Mus musculus: one gene and its partner. The protein of the gene in region 1 interacts with the protein of each later gene in a biochemical or structural test. Links are inferred from orthologs where the notes say so. Each region holds a gene or a part of one and is shown on either strand. Other genes may lie near its edges.

What was found.
Region 2: the proteins of Pbx1 (region 1) and Pknox1 form a complex in vitro, tested with the Homo sapiens proteins (2 studies listed by BioGRID). The link is inferred for Mus musculus from reciprocal best matches to the Homo sapiens genes PBX1 and PKNOX1.

The regions. Positions count from the first base shown.
Region 1 is NC_000067.6:168,194,413-168,198,219, forward strand, and holds part of Pbx1 (pre-B-cell leukemia transcription factor 1), read right to left. Parts: intron 1,472-3,807; coding exon 1,336-1,471; intron 1-1,335. UniProt on the Homo sapiens protein: Transcription factor which binds the DNA sequence 5'-TGATTGAT-3' as part of a heterodimer with HOX proteins such as HOXA1, HOXA5, HOXB7 and HOXB8. Binds to the DNA sequence 5'-TGATTGAC-3' in complex with a nuclear factor which is not a class I HOX protein.
Region 2 is NC_000083.6:31,563,271-31,567,683, reverse strand, and holds the start of Pknox1 (homeobox protein PKNOX1), read right to left. Parts: upstream 2,912-4,413; 5' UTR 2,796-2,911; intron 1-2,795. UniProt on the Homo sapiens protein: Activates transcription in the presence of PBX1A and HOXA1.

The DNA of each region.
Region 1 (3,807 bases):
TTTCTCAGCAGATTTTGCCTCACAATGTGGAGCAGCTTAGCCTACCTGTTGTAATTGTTACTGTGATGGTGGTGGTGATGGGGTGTGTGTTGGGGGTCGGGGGAGGCAAGAATTGCATGGCCTTGGAATAGATAGGAAACAGATGAAAGGAGACACAGCATATAAATAATTCTTTTAATGAACAAAGTATTCAGCACTTGGCTTTCCACCATGAAGGAGGTAGAGGTTGCTAGAGCTAATGCCAGTATCGTTAGCTACAACCTGACTCCAGAAGGCTTCTTCCTCATTTCTAGATAAATTTAAAATCTGGAATTATGGACTTTGCCTTGAGTCCATGGAGTAGTTTAGAGGACGCTACCATGGGAATTTACTGAGGTGTGTGGTTCCCGACGTAAACTCACTCGTCAGATCCACCACCAGGAGCAAGGAACATCATGTCTTCCCGTTATATAGACAAGAAATCTAAACCTAGACTGAAATGGGAACAGTTCTAGAAAAACAGGAGACTGGACTAGTTGAGTCTGACTACTGAGGTTCTTTCTTTAAGCGATGTGACTGGAAAGGACCTTCAGCTAGGTCACAGAGCCACTGAAGGCCCATATGCATGCTGCCTTACCTAAGTGGGTGTTTCCAAAGACAGTCACTACTGTAAGGAAGTCTTCTTCTCAAATCCAGGGGAGTATGTAATTTTTCTTATACTTTTTTTCTAGGCTAAAGTAGGGGCTCAATACTGCTTCTTTTTTTATTTTTTATTTTTTTATTCTGCTCATGTTAAGAGATTCCATGTGCATACAACTATTGCATCATGCATCTTTCCACGTCAGTGGAGACCTGTTATAGTGAATGCATTCTGGAGGAAGGGACACTCAGTGCCATTCCAATGGAACCAGTGGCATTCTCAATTCCTTCTCCAAATCAGTTATTCCTTGTAGAGTCAGAACACTAAGAGAAAGCATTGACATCCCTTTCATTCAAGTAGTTTGGGTCACCAACTCTTATTAAAGTTCCTGGTTTTGGAGAAAAAAAAAAACTGCTACGGAATTAGAAGGAACGGCACGGAACGTGCGGGTATTATATAATAAACACTTCCATCCAGGAGGAGCCTGTCTCTCTTTGCACACTGTATTCTAAATTTTCTCTTCCTTTGGTTGTTTCCCTTGGTTGGGCTTTTAAACTCACCTGAAAACTGTCTCACAAGTACTAAGAGCTTACCTTCCTCTTTCAAGGCTCTCCCTGGTGGATCTTACAAGGCCCGAAGGCCCAAGAAAAACCTCCAAGACCCCCCTGAGGCTCCATCAGGCAAGGCCACAAGCTGGCTCTTCAAGGGTTTCTCACCTGGGAGACTGTGATGCCGCACTTCTTGGCTAACTCCTCTTTGGCTTCCTCACTGGGGTAAGGGTTGCTGAGATGGGAATAGAAATATTCATTCAGAATTTCTGTGGCTTGCTTGTTGAAATTCCGTCTCTTCCGCCTTCAGAACAAGAAAGGGAAAGAGATGAGAAAGAAGGTCAAATTAGGCAAACGGAGAGCAGGCTGGCTTCTAGAAGAAGAGACAGCTTTGAACAAAGGTTGAGTTCAAGTTAATCTGCAAAAGGGCCAAATGCCCAAACTTCTAAGCACATTTGCTCTGTAGTTCGAATGAAGGGGAGAAGAGAATTAAATACATCTGTACATTCAGGGCACCTTGGGTTTAAATCCTAGACCAGCTAGATACCAACTGGGTGGTGACTGAATGTCACCTAAGCATCAGTTTCTTCAACTGAATGTATAGAGTTCCAAGGTAGTGTACAAGGACCATGTACAAGAAGGACTCAGAAGAGTATTTAGCACCAGACAAAAGCCAAACTCAGTGGCTGCATTCCAGGCCCTTCCTACATGAGCAGGAACGAGTCGTTTATTCCACCTGTGACGTAGCTGGAGCTATTCTTATCCACACATCATTTTTTTGTTAGTTAGTTTGTTTGTTTTGTTTTTCAAGACAGGTTTCTCTGTGTACCCCTGGCTGTCCTGGAACTCAGTCTGTAGACCAGGCTGGCCTCGAACTCAGAGATCCACCTGCCTCTGCCTCCAAAGTGTTAGGATTAAGACATGCGCCATCACTCTCACCACCTCCACTGCCACTGTTACCACAGCCTGGCCCTATTCTAAGATTAAATACTGTGTTCTAAGTCACTCAGCAGGTATGGTATGGAGATAGTTCAGGTCTGCCTGGCATACAACTCAGCTTCTTGCTTCTATACAAACTGTGACACAGAGATTCTGTTAAGCCCCGAATTAAAACTAAGTTATCATTTTCTCTCTATTCTATCCCCATGCAAATGCATCCAACATTTTAAAAAGTCATCTGGGCAAGAGGTCAGGAAACTGACTGGAATTAACCCCTGACTGCCTGATCTCCCTGAACAGACAGAGAAAGGTTATTTTGCAGCAGGAGAAGCCGCTAAATGGTAAAACAAAGGCTCACAGAATTCTTCCTCATACACAGGTTGCCAAAAAGAAGACCATTTTTCTCTTCATAAAAGCATTTTTCTGCCTTTAAAAAACACAGGGGTGCTAATTGAACAAATCTCAAGTGAGAATTACTTTATTGCTTCCTCAATGCTAAGGCCTGTGGGTGGTGGGAAGGTCTCAAAGAGGCCTCTAGGCTCTGTATAGGCCTGGTTTTTTTCCTTGAAGTGGGGGAAGCCTTCCTTTTTAAATTCTCTCTAATAGCACATTTACCTGCCTTGCTTTCTGTCCAAGTTATTCCTCAAGGAAAAGAATTCCAGAACATCTCTGGTTATATCAGGATAGAAACTTCCAAATTTAGCCAACAGAAAGCACCGGTGGCCTTGCTAGACTGGAAATTTAGCTAATATTGTATTTTCAGGGTCCCTCTTGCATTAATTAACACAATAAAGTACCTGATTTTACCGGATGAACACCATCTGCCCATAGGTATCAACTACATATGTCTGGGCTACGGCAAGCTCAAGTCACTCTCCCAAACCATGCTGAGTTTCTGGGTCATCCAGCATCAGAAATTGGACAGATTGGATTTAAAAGCCCAGAGAAAAAAAGAGAGGCTTGTGTGGAAAGTTCTTGCTTAATGGAAATTCAAGGGAGATAGCCTAGTGGTCAACACACCCTCTGGGTTTGCCTTCAAAGAACCTTTTGCTGGTTTTCCTACAGATAGTTGTTTGGGGTCTGGGGAACTGGACCAGGAACCACCTCTGTCTCTAGGAGAACCCCCAGTCCTTCAGCCCATTATCTGCAATTAGCATTACAGAGTATTTTTTGGGAGTCTTCCAATTGAGCTCAAAGGAAACCTCTCTGGAATGAGCTAGTGGTGTGGGGAGGGTGCAGACAGCTGTTGCTGGCTCTCTTGGCATCCAGGATATGATCTACCCTAGGTGGTCTCATCTACTCCAACGGACTCGCTTATCACTTCGCTCAGTAGCTGTCTTAATCTGTCTCTGAAATCCCATGGTCAGGACTTTTAAAAAATGTAGTGAAAATAACGTGTGTCTGAGGGTTAAGGCTGAGAGATGAGACAACTGGACAACTGCCTTCCTTGCTTTAGCATTCCTGACTTGTAGATTAATGTTTGTGATCGCCAGCCAATTAGAGCAGTGATCACTGTGGTGTGTGTGTGTGTGTGTGTGTGTGTGTGTGTGTGTGTGTGTGTATACAATTTGTATAGTGTGTAGGCAGGCTGTCCGCATATGTCTGTGCACCATGTATATGCACTGCTAGAAGGTGTCAGACCTGTTACAGACAGTTATAAGTGTAGAAGTGGTGCTTAGACTCAGTCCTATAGAAGAGCAC
Region 2 (4,413 bases), on another chromosome or scaffold:
TGAGCACACACACAGAGTCACCAGAGAAGGCTTACCTCTATCAGAAGGTGGGCCTTCAGGTGACAGGATTGCCCTGAACAGAAATTATGTTATATACACAGAGCACTGACAACCCATGCTAACCAGTTTACCCTCAGACGGGAAGAAGGGCCTTGTGACTTTACCCATCAGGATGGCCACGCTCTATCACTCCAGAGAAAGGCCCAAGATGATAAAATCATCTGGAGCAGGGATATTTGGAATGACAGGGCTTTGTAAAGCAAGAGTTCCGTCAGTGAACTGCATCCCCTACCTCATGGTTTTCAAGATTCTGTAAATGTTCCCCCCCCCCGCCACCTCCCTGAAAATCCTTGGAGTAAGAAGCTACGCCATCCGCTTCCCATGATGCTGTTCCAAGAACCACAGAACATCAGAGACACAATTCCCAACCACAGGCCACACTGCCTGCCTTCTGGGGGGAACTTCCTAAACAATAGCTCAACAGCAGGGGCTGTAGCAGTTGAGGTACCTGGCATACCCTCAGTAATGTAACACGAAGCAGCCTTTGTGGCCAGGCCTTTGTCTGCTTTGCACCAAATGACTGTCCAGTCCACTTTGTTCATCCTACCAATCCTACCACATACAACATACTTTCACTCTAGACAAGATGGAAACTTTCACTCTAGACAAGAACTCCCTGTGTTTCAGCACAGCTAACTGTAAGACAGCCTAACCCACCAAAGGCTGTGGCTAACTTCTCTTACCCTCAACCACTGTTAGACCACACCACATCAGGACATCAAGCTCTCCTGACTGTTGTACTTCTTGAATTCCTTGTCACCTCTGCCAACAAAAAATTTGCCAGGTCATGAAGAGGGCCCTGAACATCCATTCATCCATATTCCTACCAAAGACAGCTGAATGTACATGGGTTTCTAAAAAGGACAGAAACTGACAAAAACAAAAAGGAAGCATCTTCAGCGAGGAAGGCAATCAGATCAGATGAGCAAAACCAGTGTGAGGCATGTCCACAAAGCATTTAAGTTGTCACAGAAACCTCACCACACTCCCAAAGGACTTGGAAAGCTCTGCTCAGCCCGGCTGCACAGGGAGCTAATCCGGGGCTCCGATGAGACACTTTGGCCCAATACTTTTTTTAAGACAGGGTTCTCTATGTAGCCATGACTATCTTGATTGAACTCTATAGCCCAGACTAAAGAGGTCCACCTGCCTCTGCCTCCTGAGTGCTGGAATTAGGAGCGTGCCACCACCACCTCGCTAGATCAGATATTTTTGAGAGCTATTCCAACATGACTGGTACTCTTTTTGACCCTGGGAAAGTTTCAGCTCCTGGATCCACACTTCGAACTTTGGCAAATCTCTTTTCCTCTCAACAGTTCTGGTTTTAACTGTGCAGGGCCAAAGTGAAGCTTGTAACTGAATGTTACTACTCCTACAGTGACTTTGTTTCCACAATTCACAATCAGGACCTCCTAAAGTTAGGATACAAGGCCACAGAAACGTTACCAAATGTAAACTGCCGCCCCCTGAATCACAGAGCTGGTTGGGGGCGGGGGGGGGGGGGGGAACCGAGCTATCTTCCCAGCCATCCTTGTTCTATCCTAAAGCACAGGGGTCTCTCTTAAGGAGCATCAACTCCTGGTGCCCTGGTGGCCAAAGTTCTCCAGGAAGAACCTTAAGCTTCAACGGTACCTCACACAATGGTGGATCTAAGACTCAGCGCGCTATTGCCAACGGGATGGCCCGCACAGGCTGGGAGGGTTTAGGGACTCTTGCCTGCCTCACCTGGACACCGAATGAGCAACAAAAAGCGTGCTAGCAACGCGTTCCCGCCTCAGTCAAATCCTTCCCTGGAGTGTTTAGGGAAAGCTCATTTTTCTAGTGCTATGACAGGAGGCCTGCTTAGAGGCGTGTTCTTCCATCCTTTAGTGGAAATCACCCACATCTTTAAAAAAAATAAAATAAAACAAAAACAAGTCACTTCTGGAAGAGGCTTCCCTGTCGAGCCGACACCCACGTCTCAACTATCCAGAATCCCTGATGTGTGCTCAATCTTGGCCCCCGTGGCCCGCGCGCTCCCGGCTGGCGCGGTGGGACCGACCGCGCAGGCTACGGCCTCCGGAGCCTGGAGCCGCGACGTCGCCGGGCTCGGTGCTCCTAGCCGCACCGCTTCCCTTCTCAGATACACACGGAGCAGGCACAGCGGACCAAGCGCTCCTCGAGAAGCTCTCCCCGACGGGCCGTGGACACGCGCGACACGCTGTCACCATCCGCGGACTCCCCCGGGAAGCCCCACACCGGCTCCGGCCGCCCCTCTGGGCTGCCGACCCCGCCGCCATCTTCCTGCCGCGCCGCCCCCGGGCCTCGGCCCTCGGCCCTCAGCCCGCCGCCGCGCGCCCCCGCCGGCCCGCGCGCCCCCGCAGCCGCGAGCTGCACTCCGTGAGCGACGGTTAGGCGCGCGCTTCGAGCGGGCCCAGCGCGGAGGCCCTGCCGCCTTCGAGAAATTTCCGCGCCCCTGAACCCACACAGGAAAACAAGCCGGGCGCGCCCCCGCGCCGCGGCCTCAGCGCCCCCTCCCCCCATCGGCGCACCCCTCCCCCCGCCCCCGCCCCCGCCCCGGGCGCGGGTCAAGTGCGGCCCGGGGCACCGCCCGCCCGACCGCCCGCCTGGCCCGCGGCGGAAGAGGCAGCGGCGGAGGCGGCGGCAGCGGCGGCCTCGGCCGGTGTGATTGATAGGGACGGCGGCAGCGAGAGCGGCGGCGGCGGCGGCGGCGGAGCGGTTGAGTGACAGCTTACCTGGGTGCCAATCTTCATCACACTGACAAGCGGCTGCAGCAATCGGGACCCGCAGTGCCGCGCCCGCGTCCAACCGTCACGCCGACGCCGGGCCACGCGACACAGCCTCGCTCAATGGGAGGAGGGCGACGCCGATGCGCGCCGCATCAATATTCACCGCGGGGGCGGGGCCTGCCGACCCCGGGCCCCGCCCCCGCCCAGCGCGACGGCGGGCGGGGGGCGGGGCGGGTGGGGCGGGGGCGAGGCAGGGGGCGGGGGAGGGCCCAAGCGGGGCGGGGCAGAGGCCGGTCCCGCCCCGCTGCGCGCACTCAGCCAGGCCCCACCCAGCGGCCCAGCCCGGGCGCCAGTAGCAGCCTGCCCCGCCCCAGAGGCAGAGCTTATGTTTCATGACCACGCCGTGGGGCGTGGCCCAGAGAGCTATAGACCACGCCTCCTCTGCGCACTCGTCTGCTCCCTCCCTTCGGATAAAGGTTTGTGGAACTGGGTGGAACCATCTGCAGCTCAGGCGGGGAGTACGGGCTGTACCATCAGAGGACCTTCGCGATTCTGGGCCTCCCGGCTCTAGCCCTTCGTTCTGAGCGGCGCCTCGCAATCAAGGTTCTGGAGCTGGGGTAGGCGCGAGGAGGTAGGCGTTCATCTTTAAAGACCGAAGGACTGAGCGCTTGAGATGTTTGCCCTGGGATCTAACCATGGATGCAGTCTCCTGACTGACCGTGAAGTGACTGCGGTCTGACATCTGGTCCGTTAGGACTCCAGGCCAAAAAAAAAAAAAAAAAAAAAAAAAAAAAAAAGAAAGAAAAAGAAAGAAAGAGACCTTTCCTTAGGAGGACTGGACAGTGTTGTCTCTAGTTGAAGCTCTGCCTAACCAGATCATCTGCAGCAGCGTACCCCGGGCCCCGTGGCTTCACTGATCGAAGTAAAAGACAGAGCGAAAGAGGCCCTCAATTTGCCTGGCTTGTCTAGGCAACAGTTTTATGCAGTGGCCGCCTGAGTGTGTGATCGGTGCTTCTCATCCGTACACAGATTAAAGCGGTTCTGATGACCCCACACTCCTCAGGAGGAGCCTTGTACCCCAGGACTGTTGGCTGGAAGGGGCCTGAGGAAGCCGCAGCATGTGTTTGGTAGGACACCCTCCTGTGTCCTCAAGGCTCCACAGACACCCCAAGGCATCACTCTCTTTGTAGCTACAGTTCGGTTCACCACAGAACCCACGTGGAAGGAGAAAACCAACTACCAACACATGTGTGGTATGCACACACATTTGTCCACATACAATAGCAACAACAATATTAAAATTTGAAAAACTGGGTTTGGGAGCTGAAGATATGGCTCAGCTGATAAGAGTGCTTACCTAGCATACACAAAACCCTAGGTGGGATCCCCAACACACATTAAACCTTACCAGGTTTAATATGGTGACATATGCCTGTTATCTCAGCACTTGGGTAGTCGAAGCACAAAGATCAGAAGGTCAAATTCATTCTTATCTACCTTTTGAGGTCCTAGCCAATATGGAATACATAGGGACCTTGCCTCAAAGAACAAAGTTATTAAGCATTGCAGGGATTAGCCGGGCGTGGTGGCGCACGCCTTTAATCCCAGCACTCGGGAGGCAGAG